Yarrowia lipolytica: one gene and its partners. The protein of the gene in region 1 interacts with the protein of each later gene in a biochemical or structural test. Links are inferred from orthologs where the notes say so. Each region holds a gene or a part of one and is shown in the gene's direction. Other genes may lie near its edges.

What was found. The genes of interacting proteins can lie anywhere in the genome.
Region 2: the proteins of YALI1_F07429g (region 1) and YALI1_B08438g form a complex in vitro, tested with the Saccharomyces cerevisiae proteins (5 studies listed by BioGRID). The link is inferred for Yarrowia lipolytica from reciprocal best matches to the Saccharomyces cerevisiae genes MCM4 and CDC45.
Region 3: the proteins of YALI1_F07429g (region 1) and YALI1_D02831g form a complex in vitro, tested with the Saccharomyces cerevisiae proteins (2 studies listed by BioGRID). The link is inferred for Yarrowia lipolytica from reciprocal best matches to the Saccharomyces cerevisiae genes MCM4 and PSF3.

The regions. Positions count from the first base shown.
Region 1 is NC_090775.1:740,743-747,006, forward strand, and holds YALI1_F07429g (uncharacterized protein), read left to right. Parts: upstream 1-2,231; coding exon 2,232-5,006; downstream 5,007-6,264. Other genes in the region: YALI1_F07401g (uncharacterized protein), read left to right, coding at 1-326; YALI1_F07416g (uncharacterized protein), read right to left, coding at 640-868, 1,345-1,349; YALI1_F07504g (uncharacterized protein), read right to left, coding at 6,161-6,264. UniProt on the Saccharomyces cerevisiae protein: Acts as a component of the MCM2-7 complex (MCM complex) which is the putative replicative helicase essential for 'once per cell cycle' DNA replication initiation and elongation in eukaryotic cells.
Region 2 is NC_090771.1:840,413-845,921, reverse strand, and holds YALI1_B08438g (uncharacterized protein), read left to right. Parts: upstream 1-2,084; coding exon 2,085-4,073; downstream 4,074-5,509. Other genes in the region: YALI1_B08461g (uncharacterized protein), read left to right, coding at 1-1,436; YALI1_B08401g (uncharacterized protein), read right to left, coding at 4,198-5,509. UniProt on the Saccharomyces cerevisiae protein: Required for initiation of chromosomal DNA replication. Acts at the origin of replication. Also has a role in minichromosome maintenance.
Region 3 is NC_090773.1:281,334-286,097, reverse strand, and holds YALI1_D02831g (uncharacterized protein), read left to right. Parts: upstream 1-2,175; coding exon 2,176-2,220; intron 2,221-2,415; coding exon 2,416-2,484; intron 2,485-2,914; coding exon 2,915-3,328; downstream 3,329-4,764. Other genes in the region: YALI1_D02852g (uncharacterized protein), read right to left, coding at 1-818; YALI1_D02804g (uncharacterized protein), read right to left, coding at 3,799-4,764. UniProt on the Saccharomyces cerevisiae protein: Functions as part of the GINS complex which plays an essential role in the initiation of DNA replication by binding to DNA replication origins and facilitating the assembly of the DNA replication machinery.

The DNA.
Region 1 (6,264 bases):
GCCGCGGCATTTGGGCGACTGTATTTCGCGCCGTGTTCAAGCACCAGGGGATCAAGAAGAGTGAGATGCCTCACTTTGGGCTCATGCCCGTGCACATGGGCACATCGAGGGTGTTTGTGGTGCCCAGTACGAGTGGGTTGGTGAGAGATAAGAGGCTGGAGCTGTGGAGGGAGTTAGGACAACTGTATCGCGGGAAGGGGGAGAAACAGGAGGACACAGATCATGTGCTGCTACAAGCCTCAGAAAGGGTCAGTAACCCCAAGAAAGAAGACGATTGTAGTCATGATTTCAGTGGCCGTGTCAAGAAGGAAGAGACGGATATGTGAATGGCGAAGGAAAAGACGGATGTGTGAATGACAGTGTGAACTGATTGGACTGGGATCTTTTGTTATTCTAACTGTCAGTTACGGATGCTACTGTCGAGGCTCGCTGACACTGCGACGCTTGTCCGAAACCCTTCATCAACTCAATAACAATGCCGTTGAAGTCGAGCGGCAGCAAGCGTTAGTCGACAGAGTCAATATCTCTCGCTCACATTGAGGTTTAGCAGATCCACATCCAGGATCACATTCTCCTTTAAACCATCGGCGATCTGCAGACCTCACCAGAAGTAGCAGATCACCTCCTAACCCTGTCGCACTACACCCAGTCGTCTCTTGAGGTGTTGGGCTGTGTCATTTGACTCTGGTTCGGGCTAGACTCAGCTCTACTTGGCTCGTAGTTCATTCCAAAAGCTACGACAAATTTTATCAAGGCACCGACGAAGCCTTGTCTAACTACCTGTTTTCTCCAGTCAGGATCAGTGCCGTGAGAATGCACGTGGCCCGGGCCAACTGGCCCAGCTGTGCCTGTGAAATGATCCAAATGTCTCCATCTGAAAACGGCAGCTTATGAGGCTTTCAAGAATCTCGAAGGCCAGCTTCCAGGAGTGAAATGTATTGCTGCTAAAGACAGTCTCGGGAACGAGATTGCGTTTACCTGGGGAACAGATTTGGTCCTTCGATCCCGATCCTGAAGAAGATCGAGTGACGATGGCCCAGTGTGTCTATGATGAAGAAGACTCTGATATTTGTTGGACAGTGGATGAGGAGTTGAGAGTCGACATAATTGATGAATGTATTATTCAGAAAAAAAAAAGTACTCAATAATGGGAAGTCACAAACACTAGGGTAATCGTCGCTCTATTCACGTCACTGTCGGTAGGTACAATATACAGCTACGGTCTGTCTAGCTACACAAGAGGAAGCAAAACACATTCCCCATGAAATATCCAAGAATCTGAGATTGTACAATGTCTATAGCCCTTCAGTACCGGCTCTGACTTCTCTGCTTCAGTATATGCACTCCATATGAAGTTGCACACTCGAAACCATCCAACTCGTGAAATACTACTCCAATCAGAAAAAGAAAAGCTCCAATTAACTCGTATTGATTCCGTGATTCAGTTAATACTTATTACACCCTTCTAGGATCGATATATAATCAAAACAGTAGTGTGTACTTGTAGCGAGTACTGGTACTAGAGCCACCAAAAGTACTGTATTGTAGTCATAATGGAATCAAAAAACTCGATTGGAATCAGAAAGTGCATGTTGCAATACAAACATGTCTTCATATTTGAGAAATCGCCACTCGTACAAGATCTATCCGAGGCAAACACTACGCCGTCTGAACAACTCCTTCCAACTTCTTCCAGCGTTATCCCACGAGAAAACAAAAGCCACCATTGTATTCCTTGTACAAGCATTACAATACAAAAGTGCCATTGAAATCACCATCCAAGCTCCACAACTCATTCCAACACTCCTCTCAAAAAGATATACAGCATCTTCAGTACATACACTGTATGTACAGTATGTATGTACTGTACATACAGTATGTCTCCCACCTTTTACCATTCGGTGTACATCTGGACGTGAAGAAATGCAACTGGGTGACACAAACACACGGGAAAGCGCCGTGGAGCTGGTATTTCACGGTCCCGTATCCCCTCAGTCAAAAGCCCATCTCTCTAGTCTCGGGAGGCACGCGTCAAGTTACCCTACCGACACGTCTCCTGTGCCCGATTGGGACGTTTAATTGAAACTTTAACGCGTCCCAAGCATTAGGAATTTCTCCCAAACCAACCACCGCTTCCACAACACCGCACTGGACATTGACATTGACACTGTCATCGGCGACATCACCGCAGTTTCCCGCATTTCTGTTTCTGTTGCGCAAATCCACCCGTCATGTCCACACCCAGCTCCCCAATCGGACTGGGATCGTCCCCCCAGCGGGACAACAACGTGTCGTCGTCGCCCCTGTTTATGGGCTCGTCGAATCCCCCCAGCGAGCTCGGCATGGCTTCGTCGCCGGCCATGATGCCGTCTTCCGGCGGCACCCGACGACTTCCCTCGTCCACCGGAGCTCGTCAGGGTGGCGCTCCTTCGTCCAGAGGAGCCGCTCTTCTGTCTGATCTCGACTCCACCCCAACTCGCGCCACCGCCGGCGGTCGTCAGCCCCGAGGCGACATTTTCTCGTCCGACATCAACACGCCACGTCGACAAACGACCTTTGGAAACGGCTTCGAAAGCTCGCCAATGCGCCTGGACTCTGAGGGACTGTCGTCCACGGGTCTCGGGCTCCAGAGCGACAACGACATCTCCACCGCGGGCCTCATGCCTTCCGAGGGGATCTCCACAGACGGAAACGAGCCGCGAGCGGTACTTTGGGGCACAGACATCGCCATTCCAGAGGTGATGGCCAAGTTTCGACGGTTCCTGATGCACTTCAAACCGAGCTACCGGGTGCAACTAGATGGCACGGTGTTGGAAGACATTGGAGCCACTGGACAACACACAAACTCGGACCCTGACAGACTGTACTACGTGATCATGCTGCAGCAGATGCACGAACTGGGCATGACCAACCTGAACCTGGACATGCAGAACCTGCTGGCGTATCCTCCGACGGCGTCTCTCTACCGAAAGCTGGTGCTCTACCCCCAAGAAATCATCCCTCTGATGGACCAGACCATCAAGGACGTCATGGTCGCTCTCCTGGTCGAGGGAAGTGATCACCCGGAGGAGTCGGTAATCCAGGAGGTGGAACAGACAATGTACAAGGTGCGTCCGTATGGCCTGGGCACAGATCGAGGCATGAGAGAGCTCAATCCTTCAGACATTGACAATCTTGTGTGCGTCAAGGGACTGTCTTTGAGATCAACGCAGGTCATTCCTGACATGAAGGAGGCGGTTTTCAAGTGCTCGGTGTGCAACCACACCGAACCGGTCCAAATCGAAAGAGGTATTATCGCCGAACCTGTCGTTTGTCCTCGAACTGTGTGCCAGAGTAAGTACTCCATGCAAATTCTGCACAACCGGTCCATTTTCGGCGACAAACAGGTTGTGCGACTCCAAGAGACACCGGACGTTGTTCCCGACGGCCAGACGCCCCACACGGTGTCTCTCTGTGTCTATGACGAGCTTGTGGACGCCTGCAAGGCCGGAGATCGGGTCCAGGTGACGGGTATTTACCGATCTGTACCTACGCGAGTGAATCCCCGAAACAGAACCATCAGATCGCTGTTCAAGACCTACATTGACGTTGTTCACGTGCAAAAGACCGACAAGACTCGTGTCCAGGTTGATACCGACATATCTGGAGCCAACAACGAGGACGCGGCTGAGAAGAATGACGTGGAGGAGACGCGAAAAATCACCGTCGACGAAATGGACCGAATCAAGGAGGTGTCTGAACGAGCCGATCTCTACGACCTCATGTCCCGGTCTCTGGCTCCGTCCATCTACGAACACGACGACGTTAAGAAGGGTATCTTACTGCAGCTGTTTGGAGGCACAAACAAGACGTTCACCAAGGGAGGTGGACCCAAGTACCGAGGCGATATCAACGTTCTTCTGTGCGGAGACCCCTCCACATCGAAATCTCAGCTGCTTCAATATGTGCATAAGATTGCTCCGCGAGGAGTGTACACTTCAGGCAAGGGCTCTTCGGCCGTGGGTCTGACAGCATATGTGGCACGCGATCCCGATACTCGACAGCCCGTGCTTGAATCTGGCGCTCTGGTTCTTTCGGATGGCGGAGTTTGTTGCATTGATGAGTTTGACAAGATGAGTGACGCCACCAGATCGGTGTTGCACGAAGTCATGGAGCAGCAGACGGTGTCGATTGCCAAAGCCGGCATTATCACCACCTTGAACGCACGAACGTCCATCATTGCCTCAGCCAACCCCATTGACTCTCGGTACAATCCCGATTTGCCCGTGACAAAGAACATTGATCTTCCTCCTACACTTTTGTCTCGTTTTGATCTCGTCTATCTAATGCTTGACCAAGTCGATGAACGAGTCGATCGTCATCTGGCTACTCATATCGCAAACATGTACCTTGACGACAACACCGCCACTGCTGCCACTGGAGAGATCTTACCGGTGGAGTTTCTGACTCTGTACCTGTCGTACGCACGAGCCAATGTCTTCCCTCAAATCACCCCCGACGCCAAAGACAGACTTGTGGCGGCATATGTGGACATGCGAAAGCAGGGAGATGATCCTCGGTCTTCGGAAAAACGAATCACAGCCACCACCAGACAGCTGGAGAGTATGATTCGGCTGTCAGAGGCACATGCCAAGATGCGTCTTTCGTCCACAGTCGAGGTTTCTGACGTCGACGAAGCCGTGCGACTTATCAGAGCCGCCATCAAGGATTACGCCACCGATCCTGTTTCTGGACGAATCGACATGGATCTGATTCAGACAGGAACTTCTCTGGCCCAGCGAACCGCGCAGGCCATGGTTTCTCAGGAGATTGAGCGAGCTCTGGAGTCGTATCCCACCGGAGAAGCTCCTTACAATGAGGTGCAGCGCAAGGTGTTGGATATCACGCGCGCGGTGACGAACGAGGAGTTTTCCCAGGTGGTCCAGGGAATGCAGAATGAGAACAAGATTCGCGTCACCGGCGAGGGTCCTAGACGGCGACTCAGACTTTTGGCGATGATGCAGTAAGAGATATACACAGGTGAATCACACATGGATAATTAATTAGGAAAATGAACAAAGTGAATGACAAACAACAAACCACTTGTTTCCATTCTCAGGGGCAAATTCACTCGGCTGCCGAGACTCTCACGATGAGGCTCTCTGTTAGAGAGGAGAGTCTGGTTTATCGGAACGCCCCCAGCGAGTCATATGTAAGTCGTTAATGTATTTGTTGTGTAAAAGTCGATTTTATTTAACAGATAGACCTCTGATACTCGTAGACCCCTAAGGACTCGGAATGCGAATCCTCAGTGCGTGTCACGTGATCTTACGGATTTTTTTATTTTTATTTTATTTTTTATCATTCCCTTTTTTTCCCCTTCCCGACTTAACGGCTATCCCCCACCCCGAATCACAACGCCTGGCTAGCTCAATCGGTAGAGCGTGAGACTCTTATTCGAGATCATCTCAAGGCTGTGGGTTCAAGCCCCACGTCGGGCTACAAATGGTCTGCGAAACAGTAGGCAACTATTTTTTGCTGCTTTTTTGTCCTGTTTGGAATATGAGTTCAATCGAGATGATGTTTGCCATGGTTTCGATGATCACAGTCGTTTAATTTCTTCTTCGCCAATATTCAGTGTTCTTGGACTACTGAGAGTTGGAAACAGCTGATTGGAAACATAAACCGCGGTGAAGAGTGTACCAAGTTGATTGAAGATGTCATATACTGTAGACTGAAACCTGGTAATCAAGATGAGCATAGGTTGAGACAGGATGACGACTGTTCGATGAGACTCATGGATACACAACTCCACTCACTCAGACCACCTGACATTTCGGCCAGGAACACCAAAAGATGGCAGCACCCAGGATTCTACAAGTATATACCTATGTGCTCCCCATGAAAATAGCCATCAGTACCACCTTTCAAGATTTTACGACGTTTTCAAAGACCTACAAGTAGTTACTTCCCATCCTGTGTTTCTACTGTAGCTAGCAGTGTGGAAAATACTACAGCGAGACGTCTCCTCAAGATAACACATGGCACTCTACAGCTCATCAGACGAAATTATAACTGAACCTCGAGTAAGAGTTCAGTGCGGCGCAGACTCCTTGGTAATCATAATCATAATACTATATACAAATGTTTCTCGTTGGTCTGTAAGTCGTTACCCACCTCGTTAAAGAGGCACCGACTCAGCGTCCAAAGAGTCCATGAACTTGAGGGAATTACCCACAAAGTCGTCCAACAGCGAATCAGACTTCAGCTGCGACTCGTCCTCAG
Region 2 (5,509 bases), on another chromosome or scaffold:
TCACTGCCTCAATGGCCGGTGGATCCTTCCTGTCGTCTCTGGTGGCCGGCTGGATTTCCGACCGACTTGGTCGACGTTTCGCCATCCACTTTGCTTCCTTTTGGTGGGTGGTTGGAGCTGCCATCCAGTCCTCAGCCCAAAACAAGGGCCAATTGATCGCCGGTCGACTCATTTCCGGCCTTGGTATCGGTCTGGGCTCCTCGGTTATCCCCGTCTACATCTCCGAGCTGTCTCCCAAGAAGATTCGAGGTCGGCTTGTCGGTCTCTTCCAATGGGCCGTTACCTGGGGTATCCTCATCATGTTCTACATTTCCTTCGGTCTCAGTAACATCCACGGAGTCGCCGGATTCAGAGTCGCCTGGGGTCTGCAGATCATCCCCGGTCTGCTCATGTCTCTCGGTTGTTTGTTCCTGGAAGAGTCTCCGCGATGGCTAGCCAAGCAGGACAACTGGGACGAGTCCGTGCGAGTGCTTCGAGCCATCCACCAGGGAGGCTACGGCACCGAAGAAGACATTTTGTTAGAGATTGAAGAGATCCGAGAAGCAGTCCGAATCGAGCATGAGACCAAAAACCTGCGATTCTGGCACCTGTTCCAAAAGGACTCCATCAACCGAACAATGGTGGGTATCTGGGCCCAGATCTGGCAGCAGCTCACCGGCATGAACGTCATGATGTATTACATTGTGCTGATTTTCACCATGGCTGGATACACTGGAAACGCCAACCTGGTGGCCTCGTCTATCCAGTACGTCATCAACATGATCATGACCATCCCCGCTCTTCTGTTCATTGACCGAGTGGGACGACGACCCCTGCTGCTGTTCGGATCAATCGTCATGATGATCTGGCTGTTTGCCGTCGCTGGTATCCTTGCAGTGTACGGAACTCAGATCCCCGGTGGACTCGACGGAGACGCATTCACAACCATTGTCATTGAGCCCACTCACAAGCCTGCCCAAAAGGGAGTCATTGCGTGCTCGTACCTGTTTGTGGCCACCTTTGCGCCTACCTGGGGCCCCGGTATCTGGCTGTACTGCTCCGAGCTGTTCCCTCTGAAGCAGCGAGCTGTGGCTGCCGGTGTAACCGCCTCTGCCAACTGGATCTTCAACTTTGCTCTCGCTCTATTCGTGCCCTCGGCCTTCAAGAACATCAACTGGAAGACCTACATCATCTTTGGAGTCTTCTGTATCGTCATGACCATCCACGTCTTTGTCCTCTTCCCCGAAACCAAGGGCAAGACCCTCGAAGAGATTGATATGATGTGGGCCGCCCGAGTTCCTGCCTGGAGAACCGCAAACTGGGTGCCTGACCACGTTCCTGGCGCCCTTCCCGAAGACGAGAAACACTCGGAGGAGATGGTCGAGGCCGTCGAATCCAATGAAGAGGAGCCCAAGATAGCCAGTGCTAACGTCGACGCCCCTCCCCCTCAATTGTAATAGCAGTAATTAATAATGTAACCAGGTGTCAGCGACACGAGCACTGGTCTGAATTGTTGAATAATGTGTTGTATTGTACTCCACAATATTTAGTTGGGACTTAGTTTAGTGTCAACAGTTTATCCCATTGATTTAACAAATACTAAAGGCATTTATTTAACAAACCTTATCATCAAACCAGAGAATGTACGGTAACAGGTAAAAGTATACATACGCCTATAGTGGATACTTAGGAACCTCAAATTACAAAGGAGAAATCATTGAAATAATCCCCAACACGTTCTCTACAACATCCACTTTTTATATTTCTTACAACCCCTCTACAAACACCTCTACAAACATACCTACATACAAACCAATTTTTTTTCACCAACTCTACTAAAATCCATACTTGTTTCCACCCCTGATCTACTTGTAGTGATTGTGAGACACGTTATGGGCCAGTTTCCGCCCTCGCCTTTTCGATCACGTGACCAGGACACACACACATACACACACATAGATATACACCCTCACGTGACCACACCGACTGCACTTTCTTTGCAGTACCCTAACCTCTAATTACCGGTCTGCACACGCGTAACTTTACCTTGACGCGTCTTTCCACCACACCGAATCAAAGTGAGTGACGACTGACAACGACACACCATGATCATCCAACCAGACCAGTTTGAAGAGACGTATCGGGCGCTGTGCAAGACCAGTATTGCTCACATGACGTGCAAGCTGGTGGTGTTTGTGTCGTGTCTCAATGTGGACGCTCTGTGTGGAGCTCGAATGTTTTCTGATCTGCTGCGAGCCCAGTTGATCCCCCACAAGACGGTGCCGGTGACGGGCTACGAGGAGATGATTCGCAAGTACCGGGCTCTGGACCCCGAGATTCTCAACGTTTTCTTCATTGGGTTCGGTGCCACTCAGGATGTGGGGGAACTGTTGAGGGGGGACGACGAGGAGATGGAGCTCAAAAAGATTTACATTGTGGACGGAAACCGGCCCTGGCACTTGGATAACATTTTGGATTCCAAGATTGTGTGCTTTGACGACGGACGGGGCAATTTGGAAGAGCGAGGGGAATTGTTGGTGGCATACAACTGGCTGAACGACATGAGTGCCGAAGAGCTGGACGCTCTGAGTGATCTGGAAGATGAGGGTGACGATGACGACGACGATGACGACCAGCAAATTCATAAGAGAAATGGTCACCACACCAATACTGTCGACGACAATGATTCTGACTCCGATGGTGGTGATCTAGTGGACACTCTACTTCCTTCGAAACGGTCCAACTCTGAAGACCTGCCTGACGCCAAGAAACTGCATTCCCAACTTCTGTCGGCGAAGAAACAAAAAGACGACTTTGAAGACAAGATCAGAGCCTACTACCAGCAAGGCACCTCTCAGTCCTCCCCAGCCTCTTGCATGCTCTACACTCTCATGTCGCTTATTGGTGAAACGTCAATCACTCGCTTATGGTTAGCTGTCGTGGGAACATCTTCTCTGGACAGTCAATACCCGCAAGTATTCCAGGACTCGTTTCCCATGCTTGCAGATGAAGTAAATCGAGTCGGCAACGAAGAAGCAGCCGCCCAGATGGCCCAGAATGCAAACTCTGAGGCCCCCGTGTCAGAAAAGGAGCTGGTCACGTCTCTCAAACTCGAAACCGACTACTCGCTGTTTGTGCTTCGACATTGGAACATTTACGACTCCATGTTCCACACGGATTACATTTGGGCCAAGATGAAACTGTGGACGGAAAAGGGCCGTCAGAACTTTCAGAAGATGCTGGCCATCATGGGTGTTTCATTGACAGAGGCTCGAGAGGGCTGGATCCATTTGAAGGTGAGCGTCAAGCAGGGTCTCAACAAACGAATCGAAAAGGCGGCCAAGGTGGCCGATCTGGAGGATCTTCTGCGACCCGGAGTGGTGCGAAAGTTTGGATACAAGGGCTCTCTGACAGCTGGAGATTGTGTGGATGCTGCTGGTGTTATTTTGCAGCTAGGAATGGACAAATCACCCGCGGGATTGGATCATATTAAGGAGGGCATTCTGCTCACAGTCGACCAAGACTATCGTGACGAATCGCAACGAGACCAGTTCTGGATAGCCAACTTTTGGAGCGCCTGGGACTCGTTGGAAGATGTGGATACACTGTTGCTTGGAATCAGCAAGGCCAAGCTGCTACAACAAGCTGTGGCTCGAACTACTACTGCATTGATTGAAAAGGGCCAGATTCGGCCCGTGTCGGACTACTTGGTGGCTGTGGTGAAGGAGGGACCCGATCTGGCCCTGTTCAGAAACCCCCTGGCATTGTGTCGACTGGGTATCTGGATTGCCCAGACAAAGGCCGAGGCCCACAAAAAGAAGTATTCTCCTCCACTGGTGCTGGCCTCTTTGGACAAGAGTACTGGAAACTACATGGTGTTGGGCATGAACCCTCGACAGGCCCGAGATTACCATTTTGTCATGGAAGAGGACCTGGAGGATGACCGATTTGTATTCAACCAGTTTACTCAGCGGTTTGCGAAGGCCGCAGAAGATGTGCATACGAGATACAAGATGGACATGTTTGAAATGGCGGTGATTGAGGTGGATAAGAACGACTTGACGCGGTTTTTGGAGCGGTTGACTGTGGTCTAAAAACAACGGTCATGTACAACAAATACTTACATAGGATACATTAATAGAAGCATTATTTAGTAGAAAGTAACGCTTGCTTGTATAGATGCGACCCTCTATGACTATATACATTGTTGCCTCTACTCTATGGCAACATAATACTGCCGGTATTTTCTCTGGACGCAGCACCAAGCAGAACCAAACTGACAGCATCGACAGCCATAAGGGCAGCCTGGTAAATTCTGGGTGCGGAGATAGTGGTCACAAACAGTACCGCCAAAATCATCTCACTGGGAACAGCCACCAGACTCCGCGCTACACCAATACCTCCCATGATAACAGACATGTTCTCGGGCGGTCCAAGACCCATCTGAAGAGCAATGGTGGACGAGATGAAGGTACCCGAAAGACCTGAGAGAATGGCAGCCAGTGTTCCGATGGTCTGAGATGCAAACAACAGCTGAAAAAAGCCAACCACAAAAGTCAGAACTGCCTGAAGCTTGCATCCAAGGATAGCCACAGGAGTGGAAGAAGTGGTGTTATTCAGCAATTTTTCCGCCGTGTTGACAAACAGAGGTCCTAGGAAGATTTGGGACACAATTAGAATGATTGTAACTTCCACGTTGAGAATGGTAATCTCCTGCATGCCCCAGTTCCATTGGCGTTTGTAGAACAGAAAACCAGTGTACTGAGATGTTCCATACAGACCAAAGAGAGCCAGGTAGGCCAGCAGGAAGGAGTTCTTCCGTTTATCCTGTGGAGAAGGAGCCAGACGAAGCACTTTCGAGATTGGTGCCACAAAATTGAACACGTAGATGAGTCGCTCGTCCCATTTCAAGACGCTCCACTCCGCATCCCACTTCACAGTAGCTCTGTCCCGTGATTCGAGCGTCGTTGATTCAGGAAGGATCACAACGACACAGCACACACCAGCAAAGACAAGCATTAGTCCCAGCTTGCTCATTTCAGCAAACGACGATCCGGCGGCGTTGGTTGCAACCACGGTGTTGGCTAGCATGGGGCCAATCAGTGCGCCCAGAAACAGAATGAAGGCGTAGAAGAAGGAGACATCGGTAGCCAGCTCCTGCAGGTTGCGCTTCCCTTTACTGGCAGAGGCTGCGTCAGCAAGGTAGATGAGAAAGAAATCCATGAGAAAGTGGGTGCAGAAGACAATGTTGGGGATGATCCATAGGAACAGAGGCACCGACAGAGCGTAAGTGACGAACCCCCATTGGAGCAAGTAGGCGAACAGAACTGCCACCATTGACATGACGATGACCGGCTTGCGTCCGTAGCGGTCTGAGAGCTTGTAGATGTGAATTTTGACCAGCAACCCTACCAAGGATCCTGCAGTTCGTAGTCGTCCTCCCATGGTCGCAACTTTGGTGTGGATTGCGTCCGTTTGGCACGCAGAGGCGTATTCCGTGAGACTGCCATCGTTAAGGGTGCGTCGACAC
Region 3 (4,764 bases), on another chromosome or scaffold:
ACTCCGTCCACTAGCTCAATCTTCTTCACGTCCAAGTTTTTGAGGAACAGCGAGATCTCCTTCTTCTTCCGAATTGGGTCGACTCGGATTTCGTGCCGGATCATTTTCTGTTCGAGCCCCCGGAACCGAAAGTATCTGCATTCTCTCAGCAGCGCTTCTCGATGCTCCTCCGAGTGAATGTTCACAAAACCGCCTAGCTGAATAGCTAGCAACTCCTTGAACAATTTTCCATCTCGCTTGGGCACCGTAGGAATTGCCAGAGGGGGTGGACGAATGAACTGCGAATGCACCTCGTCGCTGGTATCGTGCTCGAGGCCGAAAAACACGCCCATGCCTGCAGTAAAAAAGTTCTGCTCGTCTCCAGGAGTATCAAAAGCCGTCCGAGGAACCTTGATGCTCTCGTTTCCGATGCGAATCATGAGCTCCGAAGATAGCAGTTGCTGAGTCAGTCGCGGCAGCTGGTAGTATCGTGCATCAATCAGCAGGTATACCGACGTGGCTTCGTCGGAAGACATGATGTAGTAGCCCTGCAAGTGGCGCACAATGAGCTTGAAAATGTCCGGAGACCGGTCGAGAAAAAGCACCGGCGGGTTGTCTTTGTGTTTCAGGAAAAACTCGGTAAAGTACGACGGGCCATCGCTTGATAGAGACGCTCCAGACAAAGTGAATCGCTGATCTCCAACCTGAATCGCGTACATTTGCTCATGGGGTAGAATGGCGGGGATGGTGGGGTCGAAATTACCCTTGGGGTTGATCATGGTGCCACCCACGCGGGAACTGGACGCTGAGCTGGTTGATTGGGGCGTAGTGGAGGCCATGATAGTGACGTGAGAGGCTACTGGGTGTGTGGAGGTGGTGATGTACAGAGGAGGTGTATGTATGATTGAACTTTATTGACAATGGAATAATTTGCGAATAGGGTACAAGATGCTGTGGGCGGATTGATATCGAGAAAATTCGACTGGTGGACATAAGAAAGATTTAAAATGGATTTATCTGGTTCAATTAACGGCATGAGTACTCCAATATGCCCAAACATGGCTGTCTATATCTACGTGCAACAACCTTATCGGGATTATTGTGCATGAAGGAAAGATGACAGAAGGGTGACTAAGGCTGTTGTCAGAGACCAGAGGTCTCGTCTCGCCTACAAGTAGACAACGACTGGCTGGGTTCTGCTGGGATTTTCAGCCGAGTTTTGAAATTTATCGATTTCCCCGACTTCTTTCTGGGTTTTCTTGGATCATCTTAATTTCCCTGAATTTTTCCTGAATTTTTCTGACTAATTGAAAATTTCATTTTCCTCTTTTTTTTTTCTTCATTCTATTCGCTTAATTATTAATTAAAATACTCGAATTAATCAACACGAATCACAGAGTTTCCAACAGCCTCTCAATTCTACAAACCACCCCAAGCCCAGTGGCACGTGACTAAACTAATAATATACAGACACAACCGCTGACAAATACACACAGCCACCGAAACGTGCTACTGGTAGACATCGGCCAGTAGTGCTGTCATCGCTTATAGTAGCTACATACAGTACGTACAGTACGGATACGGGATGAATGGGGAGAAAACCGACGCTAGTTTTGAACTAGTAAACAATTTGATTGAATGGATACTGGTAAACAAAATCATGCTCGTGCTTGTATACGATTTTATACTTGTTTGGCAGTGAATTCTGGTGACAATGCAGTGTCGCCATGCTGACTCCCCATCAAAAATACCCATGATGGAGAAGCGCCAGTCTGATTTGGTTTTGGACACAATCTGCTGGAAGTTGTAACGAGACAGTGTGTAACCAGCACTTACTCGCGTTCTGATTCTTGGTGGAATCGGAATGGGTGACGCGTTGATCTCTTCAGTTGAGCAGAGCAGCACTAACCGGAGAGCTGCCAGGTCGTGCTCAAGACTGTCGCTGACCAACGATTGAGAAGTAGAGAACGAACACACGTTGAGACATCGAGCTGAGACGATATATTGATGTCGATGCGTTATATACTTCAGCTTATCAACTGAGATACTCGTTTACATCAGCGGTGTGGCGTCTCGGTCTCCCATAGAAGCTACAGTACATACTGTACATCTCAAACGCACAACGCCAAACGCGAAATTATAATTAAGGTGCATCAGGATGTTATACTGTGCTAACACACTCACACACAATACAACATGGGTGGATATTACGATCTGGACGAGATTCTGATGGAGGGTCAGGTGAGTACACGGGATGGCATGACTGCAGCGAATAGTGCATTTATCAGGGAGTCCATTACCTGGATGGAACTTGCACGCTAAGATTGTGACTGAGGCTCAGCTTGAGTACGAGTCAGATTCTAGTACGAGTAGAATGGATCTCGTCTAGACGAGCTCTCTTCTGTCCCCATTTGCTCACACCCATTGCTAACACAGAAAATCCCTTGCCGATTTGAAGTTGGAGTCCCGAACTTGGGCTTCTTGGAAGGACGAGGACGGAAAGACGTGAGTATGAGGTTATGGAGAGGTCGGGTTGGATACGGAGGTGGTCCCTAGGCCAAGTCCGCTATGATATAGCTGGTCTATATGATGAATTAGCTGCGGTGCCCTCCCTGGTCCTGTCTGGTTCTGCATACGTTTGATGTGCTCTTGCGATTATAAGTTGAGACTGCCTACACACAGCTTGATATCGTCGAGGTCAATGAACTTCTAAATCATGGGCTTGACCTTTGTTTGTTAACTTCTGATGTTCTGATCTGCTCTTGAGAGCTAAATGAACATATTGTCGGCCAGACTTGCTTCCTGATGAACTCATGTCCAGCCTTTGGAGCCCTCTACGTGTTGTCAGTGGCATTCTATTATTTGGCGACACTCTTGTTCGCTTACGCGCACCGGTCCACGGACTCCCGGTTTTCGTTTCTCTCAGCTAACCAAGATGAACGAAGGTACAATCATTGATCTCCCCATTTGGATCGCAGACGTGCTCTCACAGTCTGAATACGACCCGTATTCCGGCAACCAAGAGTGTTTTGTGACCGTCAAGATCCCGCACGCTCTCAAGCCCAGTGTCTTGAACGCTCTCAAAACGGATGCTCCTGGCGTCGATCTTCGATACCAGTCTCCTCTCTTCTTTGCCCTGGCCATCTACTACCTAGAGCTCTTTGAAGACGAGGAACTGGAGACTATTATCGCCACAGCCATGGCCGAGCGGATATCGGATATTTATGACAATGTTGGCCGACGAGGAGAGTTTGTACACAAGTACGATGAATTTGAGAAGATGTTGTACAAAAAGGGGTGTGCCTCGAGACGGGCGTATAAGGAGTACATGGCGACGATTAAGTATTAATCGAACGAAATGTGTTTCTTGACTGGAATTATACTGCATACTAATGAATTGATGGAATGGATATAAAGCTAAAGAGCTCTCGGTGTCGCGCTTCTAGCTACCTGCGATACTACATATATATATGGAAGGGACGTCCAGCAGGAGAAATCTGAAGGGGACACTGTAGCTGACTCATGGTGAATACAGGCTTACAGTAGAGTATAAAGAGGCGCTTTTTAGTTGACTACTGTACTGTAGCACTGTCCGTACTATTTCGCAGGGACTTCCAATATGGCCATTGTGTGATCTCGGATTTACTTGGCATTTTGTTAGATATACTTAATTTTTGAGAAAAGGTTCAATTAATATTGAATCTTATACTAAAGCATCCAACTATCTGTAGATAGTCGCTCGCTGAGTTTAGCACAACGACAAAGTACAGTAATAAATATTTTGGTGCAGCATGTACTGTACAATTATGTACAGCTTGCTCACCATCTAACACCAACCGCAATTCCATCCCCCAACCCCTCTCCCTCTTCTTCCACATACACTCTCCTCCTCGCTTTGACCCATCTCTTCTCCGCCAACTTCTTGGCCCTTCGGTTCATCTGTCTATGGTAAAACACGACGAAATTCTCAAACGACCAGATGAGAAAGACGAGAGGAAAGTGGGTGAGCTTGAGAGTGACAATCTTCACTCGTCGCTGTTGGGTTTTCGTGAGAAACAGTCTCAGAGGACGCAGCAGCAGCGGAAGCAGGTTCAAGGGAGGGTACAAGTAGGTGACTCGATCACTGGTTGCCTCCACAACACTTTCTGCAAACAACAATGTATACTCTTCTCGGGCATTGTTCATCATTTTCGAGAACCGGGTTGAAAGAATGGAAATGAGAACTGTCAACAGCAAAACATTGGTGAGCATGACAAAGACAAGCATGAGAAGAGACCCGAACATGGGATGTATTTTGGGCGCTTCGTCGAACCCGGCAAAAGAGGATCCGAAGAAGACTCTCACCAGTAACCAGAACATTTCGTTGGTGGTGAAATCGCCTCTTCCAAGGAATGCAAAAGTTGTCAGAAAACCAAAGTAGCAAATAGCAATGATGGTGGTAAACTTGACAAAGTCCTTGGTCAGAGTTTTGAGACATGGTAGAAGAATGCCGTAGTAGGGATAGATGGAGAGCAGAGCAAATACCCGAGGGAACAGCAAGATGGCCTCTAGAGATAACACATCAAAAGATAACTTGGTGAGCCAGATATCGTTGATGACATAAGCATAGATTCTAAGCACCAGAAACACGACGAAGTCAAGATTCACCAACAAATCAAAGGTAGACCAGTACCGGTCACCCTCCTGAGCAATCTTCTCCACCACAAACCCGAGAAAAAACAGATCCAGCACAACTTCAACGAATGTGAAGTTCATTTCAAAATAGTCATCCGCCTTCTTCTGTAT